Linked DNA regions of Callithrix jacchus. The protein of the gene in region 1 interacts with the protein of each later gene in a biochemical or structural test. Links are inferred from orthologs where the notes say so. Each region holds a gene or a part of one and is shown in the gene's direction. Other genes may lie near its edges.

What was found.
Region 2: the proteins of KBTBD8 (region 1) and TCOF1 form a complex in vitro, tested with the Homo sapiens proteins (2 studies listed by BioGRID, with this or other methods). The link is inferred for Callithrix jacchus from reciprocal best matches to the Homo sapiens genes KBTBD8 and TCOF1.
Region 3: the proteins of KBTBD8 (region 1) and NOLC1 form a complex in vitro, tested with the Homo sapiens proteins (2 studies listed by BioGRID). The link is inferred for Callithrix jacchus from reciprocal best matches to the Homo sapiens genes KBTBD8 and NOLC1.

The regions. Positions count from the first base shown.
Region 1 is NC_133516.1:48,791,135-48,797,012, forward strand, and holds the start of KBTBD8 (kelch repeat and BTB domain-containing protein 8), read left to right. Parts: upstream 1-2,634; 5' UTR 2,635-2,714; coding exon 2,715-2,730; intron 2,731-2,929; exon of another isoform or gene 2,930-3,043; intron 3,044-3,345; coding exon 3,346-3,556; intron 3,557-4,008; exon of another isoform or gene 4,009-5,014; intron 5,015-5,878. UniProt on the Homo sapiens protein: Substrate-specific adapter of a BCR (BTB-CUL3-RBX1) E3 ubiquitin ligase complex that acts as a regulator of neural crest specification.
Region 2 is NC_133503.1:49,110,640-49,116,417, forward strand, and holds part of TCOF1 (treacle protein), read left to right. Parts: intron 1-788; coding exon 789-1,337; intron 1,338-2,860; coding exon 2,861-2,957; coding exon of another isoform or gene 2,958-2,958; intron 2,959-3,527; coding exon 3,528-3,578; intron 3,579-4,337; coding exon 4,338-4,485; 3' UTR 4,486-5,778.
Region 3 is NC_133513.1:95,103,417-95,109,294, forward strand, and holds the start of NOLC1 (nucleolar and coiled-body phosphoprotein 1), read left to right. Parts: upstream 1-2,682; 5' UTR 2,683-2,704; coding exon 2,705-2,824; intron 2,825-5,878. Other genes in the region: PPRC1 (peroxisome proliferator-activated receptor gamma coactivator-related protein 1), read left to right, coding at 1-25. UniProt on the Homo sapiens protein: Nucleolar protein that acts as a regulator of RNA polymerase I by connecting RNA polymerase I with enzymes responsible for ribosomal processing and modification.

The DNA.
Region 1 (5,878 bases):
AACAAGGAGCCTTCAATTTCTCATTTTTGAATTTTTGGATTTCCAAATTTGATGCTTTCATAATCCTTCATCTTTGCTAGAATTTAAATGTAAAGACGTTTCTTCTCTCAAGCAACCATGATTATAGCAATTCTCTTTGCTTGTGATTCCTAGGTAAAACAATAATATTAAAATATAAAAGCTCTAAGTGTCTAAGTAGAACTAAATGTAGGACCTTCAAATATTCTAGTTCAGTTTTTCAATTTCTGTTCTTAATTGATTTTACTTTAAACTGTGAATATGTGAGAAAATTGAAATATAGTACTCAATACCTTAAGAGGAAAACTGGTTTACTTTTGCTGCTCTTTCCAGATGTGCAGTGATTCAGGAGGTTCTTACTAAAATTCAAATTAGAGCCATTTTAAAATAAATGTGTAACCTTTGGCTAGTCAGTATCCGTCCTGAAAAGGAATCTCCCCAGTATTCTTACAGATCATTGAGAAAGAATAGTTTGGTATTACTGTCTCAGTTTCAAGATCCTCCTATTTATTGTGCTTCTAAAAAATGCATTTTAGTGAAGATTAAATCTTTATTATGGGGTAACGCCATCTGCCCAGTAGAATGGGGTCTATTTACAGTGTCATATAAATGGCAACTTTGTACCTATAATTATTTTCCTATTTGTATTTAGATTGGCTTTTGTTATTTGTATTCTGCTCCATCTCCAATTTATAAATCTTTGTGGGTCAAATAACCTGAACACTGTCTTTTAACTAATCAAACAATATTGTCAGGTCTGTTTGCTACTAAGTTGGTAATTAAATTTTTAAAAAAATTGACCAAATATCTAAAGGCTTAAGTAAATAGATGGCTACAAAACAACAACAAAGTGCAAACGAAACTCCTATTTTAAGAAATCTGAAAAGGTTGCCACGTAAAATAGAGAACACCCAATTAAACTGGAATTTCAGATAAACAACAAGTGTTATTTTAGTTTAAGTATGTCTCAAATAATGCATGCCCTGTATTTTTATCTGCAACATTGTCAGAGGTTGTCAAACCCTAAGGATTAATGCAATTTTCCCCCCAATACTATCCATATTGTAATAAAAATGCCACCATTTAATAACTTAGAAAGCAATATCATTAAGCACATAAAAATGAAAAAGTAAAGTTATGAGTAACAAAAATTAAGTCAATTTCATCCATCCAGAAATGTGCAGACAGGACATTCACAAAGAGGAAATTATAAGCGCATATGGGAATGCATAAACCCCTGTCATGAGGAAATACCACTTCTTGTTAATTTGCATGGGGTTATAGTATTTTGAGTTCTAAATTTCTCAGCAGACCTAGGGGACAGAACTGAATTGTTTTTCAAAATTCTTTCTCTTTCTCAATAACAATTTAAATTCCAAGATCCTTTATCAAGAAGTTCAACTGTTTAATCTTTTCAGTGCTAGAAGATTTATGCACACGGGCTAACTATATGCCTACTAGACATTCTTGCCATTCACTGATACTTCCTTACATTTTAACAGTCTAGAAGTAACATTACCAATGTTAGCTCATTTGCACCTTAATCTTTAAAATATTAAGCATCTATAATGTGCCAGGCACCCCATCAGATGTTAGAAACACAAGATGAGTAAATCAAAATTTTGATTTTCTTTCCAAAGGGTTGCAGCCTATGAAGTCCATAGAATACGTATTACTATCACTTCACGTTACAGGTGAAGGATCTAAGTGGTTAAGGATTGAAAGGTCTTATGTCAGTTCTCACATATAGTGACTAAAGAGCCAGGGCTTCAGTAATCATCCCTGGCCCCGGGCTCAGGGCTCTCCGGTATTTTTTTCAAAGGAATTCCCAGAATACTTAGTATTGCATCCCTCCATTTTCCAAGAGCAAAAAGGAAAGCATCTGGGATCCCTCTATAATGTTCACGTGCGGAACAGGTGTTCTCTGGGTGCGCTAGAAAAGCAAGGCACGAGTGGGAGTTAAATATCCTAAACAACCGCTCTAACCAGACCAAGTTAATCTGTGGAAACCAGAGTACCGGGCCAAGGCGATGCTATTTCAATTGGGTGTCACAGGTGACTCATCAGAGACGCCTTGCTTTTGGGCCTTCCGATATTTTTCTTCAGGGTGGGGCGTCATATTTCCTTTGCATTTTTGGACAACAGCCCTCCTGTACATTTCCAAATTTTTCAGGTTTTACAGCTCTCACGCAGAGCTTGATTGCATACCGGAAGCCAGTCAGTGGCAGGAAGTTTACGGAAGAAGAAAAAGGTAAAAAAATGAGCCGGGGGCCAGGAGAGAGGCCTAAAATGGGGACATTCGCACTTGAAGAGCTTTCCCTACCCCAGCCCCTCAGAATGACAGTTCTCCTCCGCCAGAAGACTACCTCTCCCGGCAGGCACTGCGCGCTCGACGGCCACAGGCTGGCTAGCTCCCTGCTCTCCACCTCCGCCCGTATCTGCCAATAGGAATTCCCGGGTTGGGCCTCCGCCCAAGTCTGACCACGCGGGAGCGGGGGCAATCAAACTACATTACCCGTCACGCATATGCTCGCGTCGAGACCAATCAGTGCCAGAAATTCGTAGGCTAGGGGCGGAGCCAAATGCACAGTACACCCCATTGGCTAGGGGAAGCTTAGAAGAGCCGGAACCCGGGAGCTGGAGAAGCGAAATGACATTTCCTCTTTAAATAGCTGGAGCCGGGGCCCCATCGAGAAATGGCCGCGTCGGCAGGTGGGTTGTGTGGTGGCCAGGGCGGCGTGGAGGGAGTTGAGGGGGAAGGTTGGCCGGGGCCGGCCATAGGCGGTGGGATGAAGAGGTAGCGGTGTGGAGCCGGAGGGAAGGATGAGGAGGTAGAGGGGAATGAGGGGAGGATGAATGGTGCGGAGGGCGGTGGGCGGTCCGGCGGGACAGGGATGGGGAGGCTGGGTACCCGCCGTCGCTGCGACCCGGGAGGCAGCGGGAGGCGGCTTGAGGGGGCACCGGCGGTCGCCGTCGGTTGAGCTTCCTTCGTGAGGCTCTGCCCTCGGCTCTCGGCGGAGTTCTCGCAGACGCCTCACATGGGCTGCGAGCGCGTTCCCTCCGCGAGCACGGGCGCCGGGCTCGCCGGGCTCCGCAGGAGCAGGCTGGCCTTTGAACTTGTTCCGCCGATGGCGCTCCGCCCTCTGTCTCCTAGATCCTAAACTCGCGGTCCCACGAGGTCGTGCGTATATCCACAGACATATATGTATATATATATCTTTGTAGCGGGGAAAAAGCCAAGCAAGCAAACACACAAACAAAAAAAAATCCCGCGACGCCGTAACTGGCTCGGCACTTCTTGTGGTTGTACGATTTTTCTCCTCCTAGATTTAAGTAAATCTTCCCCAACACCGAATGGGATTCCATCTACAGACCCAGCCAGCGATGCCATGGACCCCTTCCATGCTTGCAGTATTCTTAAGCAACTCAAAACAATGTACGATGAAGGACAGTTGACAGACATTGTAGTGGAAGTGGATCACGGGAAAACATTTTCCTGTCATAGAAACGTTCTTGCTGCAATCAGCCCTTACTTCAGGTATGATGATGGTAGGAACTTGTGTCGGTATCTGCACCAAGCTCCCTTCCCCCCTCAGTATTGTCCACTTGATGTTTATACTGAGATGCAATAATGAAATGAAACCAATGGCTTTGTTTCTTGAGACTAGAAAACGGGTCCTCTCTTTTTAAGACCTTATTTTGACTTGAGGGATTCTTCTAGCGTTGAATTTTAAGTTACTGGGTCGGTGTGTGTGTTTGAGGTAATCTAGACTTGTGCTGGTCAGTATGGCAGCCAGTAGCCATGCGTGGCTGTTTAAACTTAAATTATAAGTTAAATAAAATGAAACATGTAGTTCCTCGGGTCCCCAAGTACACTAAACACTTTTTTTTTTTTTTTTTTTTTTTTTTGCGACAGAGTCTCGCTCTATCGCCAGGCTGGAGTGCAGTGGCGCAATCCCGGTTCACTACTTCCGTTTTCCGGTTTCAAGCAATTCTTTCTCAGGGCTCCGAGTTGCTGGAGCTATAGGCAGGCACCACCACGCCCAGCTAATTTTTTGTATTTTTAATAGAGACGGGGTTTCACTGTGCTGGCCAGGATGATCTCCATCTCTTGACCTCGTGATTCGCCCGCCGCAACCTCCCAATGCGCTGGGATTAAGGCGTGAGCCACCGTGTGGGGCCACTAAACATGTTTTCGGTGCTTGGTGGTCACCCGCAGCTAGTGGCCGCCATATTAAACAGCACAGAGATACAACATTTTCATCACTGGCAGTTATACTGGACAGTGCTGATCTAGAATTATTTTCAACAAGTTATCCATAACGCATGTTTCTTTAGTACATGGGACTCTTTTATAAAAGGGTTTAAAACATAGTAGTGTGTTCCTTTAAAAACAAATTACCATTTGATAGATTGTTTTAATGCTTTGGGGGTCAAAGCAGTGGAATAAAAAATGAGTAAAATATAGTCTCTACGTGCCTAAGTCCCCAAATTAACAATTTTCAATATTTCTAGACGTATGCTAAACTGTTTTTATTTTTACTTTTATTGTTTAAACTTTTAAAAATAAAATTTAAAAACTGGGGGCTGAAAAATAACTTCCTACTTTAAAATTAGTGGGAAAGGCAGTTTACTGTGTGTGTTTAACTTCTTTTGTGCTACCTGCTCACTTGAAGCTTTTCCGTATTCACAAGTGGTGCATAAATAATAGTAAAGTGTTCAACCGCACTCTGAATGTGATTTTTCCTTTTGAAAGTGCTTACCTATATAGGGAACATAGCCGTATAATGTTCCAACAGTAGTTTCTGGTTCCTCTTTCTCAGAATACTGGGTTAAATATAGTCATTTCAGTTTGATGCTTGTGATGTAACCATTTAGACTTGCCTAGGCTAGGTCATTGGACTACTAAGTATTAATCATTGCAATACGGAAAAAAAAAAAATAAAACCCACGTATGCAGAAGGTATGAAGTTTGGCCTGGTAATGGAAACTTCTGGTGAGATTCACTTACACAGATTATCTATTAGATATGGTTAGGTCATTTGTATGTTTAAATATACGTTACAATTACTACTTATCAAGCTTACTTTACATGTATTGCCTTATATAATCTTTATAATCCTATTTCTGCACAGTTGTTGTTCCATTTGACTTAGGAAGAAGCTGAGGCTCAGTGAGATTAAGTTTTAATAACACGCCTAAATCATCTATCCAACAAGCAAATGGCCGAGGCTACATTTGATTCCAGAGCCAGGCTTCTTAGTCAACATGTGACTCTTAAGAAACAAGAGTGGGTACAGTGGGTCCTTTTTAAAGTTTCCTGTAAAACATTTTTACTATATGTTACATTTGAATGGTTAAGAAAAACTGCAAAGTGAAAATGTCTATATCTTACTGAAGTTTAATAACCCAGATTATATCATTTAAATGTTATCCTTATTAAGTATAATACTTAGTAAGCATACTTAATAAGTATGACATTTTCACTTTGCAGTTTCATTTTTTTTTTTTTGAAGACCTAGAAAAAAATCTTACTTTAAAAGAAGTATGCTAGGATAGATTCCTAATTTTCTTGATTCCTTAAAATCTTAAACTCTTTATTAAGCTAATTTTAAAAAGGAGTAAAATATACTTGAGAAATTTTCTGAGGATATGATACAAGTGCATTAAAATAAAGATATTTGGCTAGAAAACTTAAGGATTAGAATTTGGTCTCTTGCTAGAGGTTTTTGTACTGACGTTTCTTGGTACCAGCATTACTTTATGTGTGGGATGTAGAAAGTCATACTTAATAGTTTCTAAGTCTTGCATCACTAGTGGAAGAATTAGAATAATGGGAAATCTGGAATGGCTGTTTCAT
Region 2 (5,778 bases), on another chromosome or scaffold:
CCAGCGTTCTTTGTGAGAGGCGGTGCGACAAGGAGACATTTTAGAGGGGGCTGTGGAAGGTTTTTTTTTTACACGTGTAGTCAGCACACAATTATCAGAGGCAAGCAGAGGCGTGGAAAATTCTAAACAAAGGCTGTACCAGAAGTCTCTCTGGCAGGCAGTAAACCTGCTTAGTCAGCCACCACGTGTATATACACTGTACCCGGCACTCCCCACCTTACCTGGACCCCTTGACCAGGAAGGGCCAAGTGTGGGTAGTCATGAATTGAATGACTGCATGGCCTCTGCTTTCATTATAAATCTAGTGTTTCATAGGGAGCCTTGCTGTTCATCTACCCCTCAGATTATAGACAGGGAAACTGAGGTTCTGGGAGATCGGTCCTGGCCAGAATCACACTGAAAGTTAGTGGGAAAGTCAGATATAGTACCCAGGTCTCCTTCCTCCCAGCTCCAGACTCCATCTCCCTCCTGTCTGACTTCATTTCATTGATAGATTTCAGGCCCTTTCATTAACACTGTAGAGTCATTTTCTGTCCCCTACCCTAACTTCAGTTTTTAGTGTAAAGAGACAGGGAAAAGCTGTAAGTTAGAAACGAAGTCAGAATGTGAAAATAGTGGAAAGGTGTGAGCTTAGGAGACCAGCTGGGGCAGAGTGACCGCCAAGCATTACTCTCCCCATCTCTGTAAGAAAAGGCGGAGTCACTCACTGCACCCTCTTCGCTCTTAGGTACTGTAAGATTTATCCCCCAACTATCCCAGATCCGTGACCCCACATTCTCTCTCCATAGGTGGAAAAGAGGCTGTCTCAGACACCAGACCTCAGAAGTCCCAGAAGCCCAAGAAAGGGGCTGGGATCCCCCAGGCCTCAACTCTGGCACTGCAAAGCAACATTGCCCAGCGCCTCCTGGGCCAACCCTGGCCCCTGAGCGAGGCCCAGGTGCAGGCCTCGGTGATGAAGGTCCTGACTGAGCTGCTGGAGCAGGAAAAAAAGAAGGCGGCGGATGTCACCAAGGAGAGCAGCAGGAAGGGCTGGGAGAGCCGCAAGCGGAAGCTGTCTGGAGACCAGCCTGCTGCGAGGAACAAGAAGAAAAAGCTGGGGGCCGGAGAAGGTGGGGAGGCCTCTGTCTCTCCGGAAAAGGCCTCCATGACTTCCAAGGGAAAAGCAAAGAGAGACAAAGCAAGTGGTGGCATCAAGGAGAAGAAGGGGAAGGGGCCTCTTGGCTCCCAAGGGGTGAAGGACAAACCAGAAGAGGAGCTTCAGAAGGGGATGGGGAAGGTTGAAGGTGGAGATCAAAGCAACCCAAAGAGCAAGAAGGAGAAGAAGAAATCGGACAAGAGTGAGTGACCACTTCTCTGGCCCCACACCGAGAGCTGCTGGGCACCTCATGGGGGCAGGAGGGACCCTGAGCCAGCACCTAGTCTCATTTCTCCCATGTAGAAAGGAGAGGCTGAAACCAGCCTGGCCTAAAAATACAAAAAATTAGCTGGGCGTGGTGGTGGGCACCTGTAATTCCAGCTACTTGGGGAGGCTAAGGCAGGAGAATCGCTTGAACCCAGGAGGCGGAGGCTGCAATAAGCCAAGATCGCACTCTTGCACTCCAGCCTGGGAGACAGAGTGAGACTGTCAAAAAAGGCTGAGAAGTGGTTTGTCCAGAGTCATGGGGGCGCAGTTAGTGGCAAAGCCAGGACTTGGTTCCAGAGCACTAGGGCCAGCACTGCCAGGAATGCTCCAGAAGGATGAGGATTCATGTCCTCTTTCCCTGAGCCCAGTGCAGCAGATCTTGCAGGAACCTGCTTCTCCAGCCACTCCGAGTGCAGAGTAGACCAGACACCAGACTGTCAGAATCTTCATGCCAAATCCCATCTTCTCTCTAGACCTCAGTTTTCCCTCCATAGTAACACTGGCTTTCTACTGAGCTCTGTGCTAGACTCTGCATGCAGCAGGTCCTCATTTAGGTAGAAATGAAGCTCAGCAGATAGAAAACTGAGGCTCAGAGAAGTAGAGGTGCTGTTCAGGGCCACAGAGTTTTACTAGGTGGAACCAGAGTCAAACCTAGGCAGCACTCTGAAGCGCCACCCTGGATGGTGGGAAAGGGGTGTATGAGATGCCAGTAATGCCTAAAGAGCCAGCTCATTCTAGAGCAAGAGTCAGGCACCCTCAGAGCAGGATACAGGACCTGCAGCCCCTTGGCACTCAGAACTGTGCTAGATTTCCATTTACAGGGGGAATAGATAGTGTCCATTTAAAATAAAGTTGCAGTTTTAAAAAGTGAGTTGACCTAAAGAAAAATGGTAGTCATTCAGGTGGTCCATAGATGAGACAGAAATCATGAGCTGGCCCACAAGGGGCAGGTGAGCTGGCACTGCTAGGTGGTCACCAAGGCCACCAGCCTGTTTTGTTTTTATTTTTTTGAGTCAGAATCTTGCCCAGTCACCCAGGCTGGAGTGCAGTGTCATGAACGCAGCTCACTGCAACCTCAGCCTCCCAAGCTCAAGCGTCCTCTTGCCTCAACCCCACAAATCGCTGGGACCACAAGCGTGCACCACCATGCCCAACTAATTTTTGTATTTTTTGTAGAGATAGGTCACTGTGTTGCCCAAGCTGGTCTTGAGCTCCTCAGCTTGAGTGATCCACCTGCCTCAGCTTCCCAAAGTGCTGGGATTGCAAGCATGAGCCACCATGCCTGGCCCTGCCAGCCTGTTGTGATGGCTCCTGGTGATGTGGGGAGAGCTGGGAACCCAGCATCAGCAGAGACAAGTTTCACGATCCTGGGAGCCCTGCCCCTGTGCGCCTCTCAACATTGACCCCAGCACTTAGGATTACCATCTGTTGTTCAGGAAGTTTGCTTTCTTTCCTCAGGAAAAAAAGACAAGGAAAAAAGGGGAAAGAAGAAGAAAGCAAAAAAGGCCTCAACCAAAGATCCTGAGTCACTATCCCAGAAGAAAAAGAAAAAAAAGGTAGAGTGAGTTCCTGAAGGGTCTCAGGCCAGAAAACGGACCCAAACCCAAGCCCCTTCGCTCATACCCAGACCTGGTTCCTGCCCCCTTCCCCTTTCCAGGGCCTGGTGGGGGCCTCATGAGTTGTGACACACCCAGGGAAGAGGCTGGCAGGGCATGTTCCCTGAGCACGTGGAAGCCATAGAAGTGGCCTGCCACTTCTGTGAAGGGTGTTGGGGAAGGAAGGAGAGACTCCTCATAGCACAGGGAAACCAGGTAGACTGTGGAGGTTTCCAGGTGAGAGGAAGCATTGCCTGGAATGTGTGTGCCTCAGCTGGCAGGCTGGCCCTGAACAGGGGCTATCCTTACTGCCTGGTACCTCAGCACCTCAGATATAGATGAAGTTCTCCCCTTGGCCAGCAGGGCCTCAGCTGTATTTAGGAGAGCTGAACATCTGTTTGCCTCTGCCTTTGGGGGTTCCCTGAAGACCCAGTATTTGTTCTGGGGGAATTCACTAGTCCTCAGGAGGTTGGGGCAGCAGTGGGTAGGGAAAAGCTGCAGGTCTGAGCTTCTCGCACTTCCCTCCTCACAGAAGAAGACACCAGAGCAGACTGTATGATGGGCATCAGCACAAGTCACAGGTATGCTTCCCAATCATTCCTGAGCATTCGGGGCTGGAGAACAGCTCTGGCATCCGCTGTAGTCCCAGAGAGCCAGGCAGACCTGGGAAGAGAGCCTCTTCCCTGGTCGGTGGACTCCAAGGAGAAAGGAGGCGGGGGAAAGAGGTTCTATTGCCAAGGGTCCATGGGGCCAGTGGGATGACATCAGGAGCTGGCACTGCAGCGTCAGAAGGATCCAGAATGGTAATGGCAGTGGCTGACATTGAGTGTACCCTGGGTGCAGGGATTGTACATGCTTTAGGGGGTTATGCCCTGGGAGATGGAACCTGTTTGTAGGTGAGATCGGATACAGCTCGGTCTTTCCTTCATTTCTGTCGCGTTTCTTTTCCTCATGATCCTGTAACTTGGGGGCATTTCCTTTTGGGAAGGAAGATGGTTTGCTCAAGATGAGCTGTCTCCGTGGATCTATGCTTCTCTATGGAGGACAGGCCCTGCCAAGTGGTGGTGACAGTTAGCTGCTCCACTGGCTGTGATGGCTCTGCGGTCACCCAGCCTCCTGTAAATGGGGGCAAGGCAGAGCCCGCCTCCTGGGCTGGTGGTGAGGCTTATGTGAAACTAAACGCTGAAGGACTCAGCCCAGTTCCCAGAATGTTCCAATTGCTAAAAAAATGTCTGCTGTGGTTAATTCCTCTCCCCTGCAGTGGAGATGCCAGGCTTCATTTTCCTTGCAGGGGAAAAAGGTCAGAGAATCTGATGTCTGGGTGTGTTTCCTTCCCCCAGGGATTTTTCTATCCGAGTGGTGACCATCCCCCTGCCTCTGACCTCCGCGGACCTCTGCTCACCATGGGTTGGAAATAGATTGTTACCTTCCCCTCGCTCCACAGAAGATAGCCAGCTGCAGGGGTCCCTGTACTGGCCAAGCCAGTGAGCCTGCGGGGAGGCTGGTCTGAGGAGAAAGTGGGCCAGCTCCCATGACCTCGCCCTACTCCCCCAACAAGGGACGCTTCGTATAGATGTGTACAGTATGTGTATTTTTTTAAGTGACCCCTCCTTCTGCAGACCCCCCATGCCCAAAGGCCTCAGGACTTCCCACCACCTTGCTCCACAGATCCAGCTAGGCCCGACCTGTGCCTCATCCCGTGCCGCTCGGTCTCTGGCTGATCCTGAGGCTTTGTCTTCCTCTCGTCAGTTCTTTTGGTTGTATTTTTATTGGTTTTTTTTTTTTTTTTTAAAGAACTCAAAAAAATAAAAGACTTGGAGGAAAGGTTCAGGTTCCCAGTGCATCTGGGGCACAGGTTTCTTGGAAGGGACCATCTCGCCAACACTTGGGATTCCTTCTTGCATGTGTGTTGAGGCTGTAGGTGACCACGGTTAGTGGGACAGGCGGTGAGTTTGAGAAAGAGATGCAATGAAATGCCGAATTGGCAGGGAAGGCTTCCTGGATGAGGTGACATCTAAACTAAAGGATAGTCATGGTTGATTTCCTGTTGCCAGAGTAAGTCACGCAAATACCCAAAGACAAGAAATGGAAGGGGGCCTGAGAAGCCTTGAGCTAGGGGCAGGCTCTCTTGAGGTGCGTGATGGAGAATAGCTGTGGCAGACAGCAGGTCTAGGAGAATCAGGAGTGGTGAGTTGTCCCTCACATCGAGCTCACCATGGTTCTGTGGTGGGGGGGCAAGAAGCAGATGAATATGAAAGACATGACATGGGATGACGTCTTGTGTGTGGAATGAAGGAGGGGAGGGGTAGCAAAGGAGGTCTCCTGCTCCATCCTGGAAATGCAGAAGCCCACTTCCCTAGGCCCAGAATCATATAAAACACCAGGGGTGCTAGAGGCGTCTCCAAAGCTTTTGCCTCTGGAAACAGCCAGAGGTAGTGCAGAAAAGGAATGCAGGGCTGGAGGTGTTGGAGACCCTGCAGTTCTTGATGTTTGGCTCCTCTTAAAAAGACAACATCTGGCAGCAGGGGGGCTGTGCTCCCTCCTGGCAGCAACCAGATAGAGCTGAGTAGCAGTTGGCCCCTTAGGTAGGGCATGGGTGCCCAGTTCTCCACAGTCCCTCACTTCCTGTCCATCCCTGACACTGAGGCCCCGTCTTGGTTGCCATCTGTCTTCACATTCGCACTGTTCTTAGTATAGAAATGAAATTGGGGACGTAGGAAAATGAAAGCTGTACCAAGAGGAGCTTGTGCTTAAAAAACTAGGCAAGAGCTTATTTCTTTT
Region 3 (5,878 bases), on another chromosome or scaffold:
GGCCCAGAAGAACCTCCGGAGGTAACCTTGGGCCCTCCCCCGCTACCCTTACCCTTTTTTTCCCTCTGGAGGTGCCCAACCTCCACTACCCCATTCCCCTACTCTAGGGGAGAGAGCTGCTAGTGAGATGACTGTTTTATAAAGAAATGGAAAAAAGTGAAATAAAAAATGTGTTAAATCAGATTTTTTAAAAGGGGTATTTGTTTTTTATAAACAGGTATTGAAACAAGTTAACTTGGATTCCTATGTAAGATAGGTGGGGGTTGAGGGGTTCCCAAGTGTTTGGAACTTGCCACTATGCAGACTAATAAACATCAACTAGAGAAAACTCCCACCTGCTGTTGTGCTTCTTTATATGGTATGGTGCTAATGCGAAATATATTCACTTTTCCTATCTGAACATGGTCCAGGGACATGACTCTCTGGTTAGGTGCAAAAATCCCACTGGATTTGAAACTTGGTTCTTCTGATGTATTGTCTAAAATGAGTCATCTAGGACAATGCTTCTCAAACTTTAAAGGGAATTTGAATCATCTAGAGATCTTTCTAGAATGTAGATTCTGACAATGGGATGATGATACTGGTCCAGGAAGGGATTTTCATAACAAGGACCTAGAGAAACTCACACTTGTTCCAAAGAAAGGTTTTCTAAATTGGGACTGGTGTGTACATTAATCATGTCAGTTACATTCATCATTTTCTAATAGCTTGAGCACACTGCATGGCACAGTAGCTGCTCAAATGTTTTAAATAGGCTGGGCGTGGTGGCTTACGCCTATAATCCCAGCACTTTGGGAGGCCGAGGCAGGTGGATCACGAGATCAAGAGATTGAGACCATCCTGGTCAACAAGGTGAAACCCCGTCTCTACTAAAAATACAAAAAATTAGCTGGGCATGGTGGTGTGTGCCTGTAGTACCAGGACTCAGGAGGCTGAGGCAGGAGAATTGCCTGAACCCAGGAGGCGGAGGTTGCGGTGAGCCGAGATCGTGCCATGGCACTCCAGCCTGGGTAATAGGAGCGAAACTCTCATCTCAAAACAAAAACAAATGTTTTAAATAATGCATGCATATGCGTAGAACCGGAAGCATGAAAAAGGGAATTGTGGAGTTTGCTTTTTGGATTTTTGTTGTTGAGATGGAGTCTTGTTCTGTCTCCTAGGCTGGAGTGCAGTGGTGTATCGGCTCACTGCAGTCTCTGCCTTCTGGGTTCAAGCAATTCTCCTGCCTCAGCTTCCCAAGTAGCTGGGATTACAGGCACCTGCCACCATACCTGGCTAATTTTTTTTTGTATTTTTAGTAGGTGCAAGGTTTCACTCTTGGCCAGGACTGTACTCAAACTCATGACCATAGTTGATCCACCCACCTTGGCCTCCCGAAGTGCTGAGATTACAGGTGTGAACCACTGTGCCCAGCGTTTTGATTTTTGAGAGTATCTCACTCTGCGGTCCCGGCTGGATTGCAGTGGCAGGATCATAACTCATTGCAGCTTCCATCTCCCTGGTTCAGTAGATGCTCCTGCCCCAGCCTTCCAACTTGCTGAGACCACAGGTGCATGCCACTACACCTGGCTAATTTAAAATTTTTTTGTAGAGATACAGGGTGGTGTGTGTGTGTGTGTGTGTGTGTGTCTTAACTACGTTGTCCACGCTGGCCTCTAACTCCTAGGCTTAAGGGATTCTCCCACCTCGGCCTTCCAAAGTGTTGGAATAACGTGTGAACCACTGTGCCTGGCCAGTTTTATATAGGAGAGGGGAGTGTTCCATGAGGAAGTGGATCCTTATCCTTCCTGAACTGCATTAGTGGGAGGTAGCCAAGGGGTAGTGGGTAGGATTGAAAGGATTGCTAACTGCTAATATGATCTGAAGTATTGCAGAACTTGGAATTCACTTGGTAGGTCTGAGCACTGATATTGGAGTTACTCATGACAAAGGGAGAGTTTGAACTCTGATATCGGAGGAAGAAGGGTTATTTTCAAGTCTCTTCAGCTTGAAGAGGTGTGTGATTCAGGTTTGGTGTATGACATCTTTCCCCTTCGTGGAGCTGACAGGCGGAATATAAAGGGAGTGGGAGGGGCGGCTTGGGAAATCAGTACCTTCCACCCCCACGACGGATAACTTGAAGGATGCTCTTCTGCGTAGAGACGAGTCTGGAGGCTGGGATGGTATCAGAGAGGAAAGGGCCTCCCTGAGTGTTGGAGGCAGTGAAGATGAAGGGCGAGAATCCATCGGCAGCGCTAATGCGCCAGTTGGGGCGGTTGGGAGATCTTGTGACCAAGTCTGGAGAGGGTAAGGACTGTTAGAGCCCGCTTGTCCACTCATTACTCTGGAATCCGAATCCTGGCAGGGGCGCGGGAAACCGCTGCTCTGAGAAAAGGTACCTCCCCCAGAAAGACAGCGCGGGAAGTCCCAAGTTTTCCCGCCACGCCGAGGGCGTGACCTCTGACGTCAGAGCCCCGCCTCTACAAACCGGCGGCTGGTGGGCTCCGCCCTTGACCAAGATGGCGATACGCGTGGGACCGGAAAGAGCTTTTAGATTTCCCGTCTACCCTACCTCTGAAGCGGAGGTGGGACTGCCCTGTGGAGCCCCACCCTTTCCGCTATGCGACCGCGCGGCGCAATGACGTAATCAGGCCCTCCCACTGCCCCTGTTGGGTTCCTGAGTCGTGCTGCGTCGACAACGGTAGTGACGCGTTTTGCCCGGAGCATGGCGGACGCCGGCTTGCGCCGCGTGGTTCCCAGCGACCTGTATCCCCTCGTCCTCGGCTTCCTGCGCGATAACCAACTCTCGGAGGTGGCCAATAAGTTCGCCAAAGCGACGGGAGCTGTGAGTCCCGGGCTTGGGACGGGAAGCGGGCTGGGTCATGACCACAAGGCTTTAGGCCCTGACGTGCTTGGGTTTCCAGGTGGGGAAGACTGTGGGGTCCGCCAGTCCAGTGTCTGCAAGGCCTTTGCGCCGACCGCTCAGCAGTGACCAGAGAAAGCCTGGGGGCCTCGGTCGCTCGTCTTCCACCAGGTCTTACTAGATAGCGCAGAGTCTTGTTGCTTGTTTCTTGTGAGCCATACAACAGCGGCAACGTGGGAGCCTCGTGGCCCGAAGTCACATGGCTAGCATAGTGCAGCTGGGAGCTAGCGCCTTGTCCCACTGAGGACGTTGGTTCTTAGGCGTCTGGTTCTTCTGGGGGGCTTTTCGTTGGCTGAGGTAAAGCGCGATTTGACCTTACCCTCAATCGCATTTACTGGGATTCAAAAGCAAGTGAAATTGCTTTAGAATAAAGATTGGGATTTTCGTTAGTAAAGAAGAAAATGAATGAAAGTAGGAGCAGAGTTTTGTTTTGAGTTACACTGATGAGAATTGAGCGTCATATACAGCCCTACCAAGCAGGCATGGTAGTGGGCTTGGAGCTTTGGCTAATAGAATCCAACCTAAGTTTGGGACCAGGCTCTGTTACTTTTTAGATATGTGACCCGGGCAGCTTACTTAACCTTTCTGAGTCTTTCTACAGGGATGTCATCATCCACTTCATAAGATTTTGGTGAGTTTCAGTAAGATTATGTGTAAGAGTAGCAATCTCAGTGCTTGTGCCGAGGAATCTTCTAAAAGTGAAAGTTGTACCATAGTTACGGCAATTTAGGATGCGCCAACCAGGAATGTGAAAGATATTTAATCTCCATCAACGGATATCCCTGCATGGAAGACACCTTGAGAGAAAAGAGAGGGGGTCCTTTGCAAGGATGATAGCAGGACTAAGAAGGATGGCTTGCACTTTTAGCAGATCAGGCTGCAAAAGCAAAGAATCAGATCAGCCTCAGAAAGAACTTTCTTAAGCTGGGACAGGCTGTCATGTGATGTAACTGCTTTCGTATTGGAACTGTTTAGAGTTGACTGTTAAGTGACTGCAAAGAGTGCTTTCACAGTGGACTGGATGGAATTGGACATTTAAGAATTAGGATTCTGAATGGTTTTATGTGAGAAAAACTAATCTTTTGTGAAGAGTTTACAAAGGTTCAGATACTTAGCCCTTTACATGCATTTTTTCTTTTTGAGACGGAGTCTGGCTCTGTCACTCAGGTTGCTCACTGCAGCCTCTGCCTCCTGGGTGCAAGACATTCTCCTGCCTCAGCTTCCCAAGTAGCTGGAACTACAGGTGCTTGCCACCATGTGTGGCTAATCTTTTTTGTATTTTTAGTAGAGACGGGGTTTTGCCATGTTGGCCAGGCTGGTCTTGAACTCCTGACTTCAAGAAATCCACCTGCCTCAGCCTCCCAACTGCTGGGATTACAGGCATGAACCACCATACCCGGCCAGCATGCCTTCTCTTATCCTCTCAATAACTTAAATGAGATGTGTAGTATTATCTCCATTTTATAGAGAAGAAAATAATCTCAGGGAGATTAGGTAATTTGTCCTAAGATAAGTTCACATGTATACTGACTGATCCTGAACTCTTTTGTACCACAGAGTCTCACTCTGTTGCCCAAATGGGAGTGCAGTGGCGCAATCTTGGCTCACTGCAACCTTCGTCTCCCAGGTTCAAGCGATTCTGTGCCTCAGCCTCCTGAGTAGCTGGAATGTCTTGGAGTTTTTTGCATCAGTTAATGTTCTGTATCAGTGTAATTAATAATTGAATGAAATTCTTTTTTTTTTTTTGCTGTCATTGTTCTTGAGACAGGGTCTCTCTCTGTTGCCCAGGCTGGAGTGCAGTGATGTGATCACAGCTCAGTGCAGCCTCAAACTCCTCAGCTCAAGCAGTCCTCCCATCTAAGCCCCCCAAGTAGCTGGGACTACAGGTGTGTGCTACCACACCCAACTAATTAAAATTTTAAAATATATATATTTTTTAAGAGATGGGGGGTCTCAGCTGGGTGCAGTAACTCACACCTGTAATCCCAGCACTGTGGGAGGCTGAGGTGGGTGGATCACCTGAGGTCAGGAGTTTGAGACCAGCCTGGCCAACATGGTGAAATGCTGTCCCTATTGAAAATACAAAAAATTAGCCAGGCGTAGTGGCAGGCACCTGTTATCCCAGCTACACGGGAGGCTGTGGCAGGAGAATCACTTGAACCTGGGAGGTGGAGGTTGCATTGAGCCTCATTGCACTCTATCCTGGGTGACAAGAGTCAAACTCCATCTGAAAAAAAAAAAAAGAGAGAGAGAGAGTTGGGGGTCTTCCTGTCTCGCCCAGGCACTCCTGTCCTTAAGTGATCCGTCTGCCAAAGTGTTAGGATTATAGGTGTGAACTACTGCGCCTGGCCTGGATGCAGTTTTTTTTTTTTCTGAGATGGAATCTTGCTCTGTCACCCAGGCTGGAGTGCTGTGGTGCGATCTCCACCCACTGCAACCTCTGCCTCCTGGGTTCAGCGATTATCCTGCCTTAGCCTCCCTAGTAGCTGGAATGACAGGCGCATGCCACCACGCCCAGCTAATTTTTTGTATTTTTAGTAGAGACGGGGTTTCATCATGTTGGCCAGGCTGGTCTTGAACTCCTGACCTCGTGATCTGCTGAGATTACAGGCATTAGCCACTGTGCCAAGACCCCGAATGCAATTTTTTACATTCAGTACAGTACTTACCAGCCTTCTCTTGGAGGTTTGTTTCTTTCTTCCTTTTTTTCTTTTCTTTTCTTTTTTTTGAGACAGTCTTGCTCTGTTGCCCAGACTGGAGTGCAGTGGCACAATTTGGGCTCACTACAACCTCAGCCTCCCAGATTCAGGTGATTCTTCTGTCTCAGTCTCCTAAGTAGCTGGGATTACAGGCTCCTGCTACCACACCCAGCCAATTTTTGTGTTTTTAGTAGAGATGGGGTTTAACCATATTGGCCAGGCTGGTTTTGAACTCCTGACATCAGGTGATCCACCTGCTTTGGCTTCCCACAGTGTT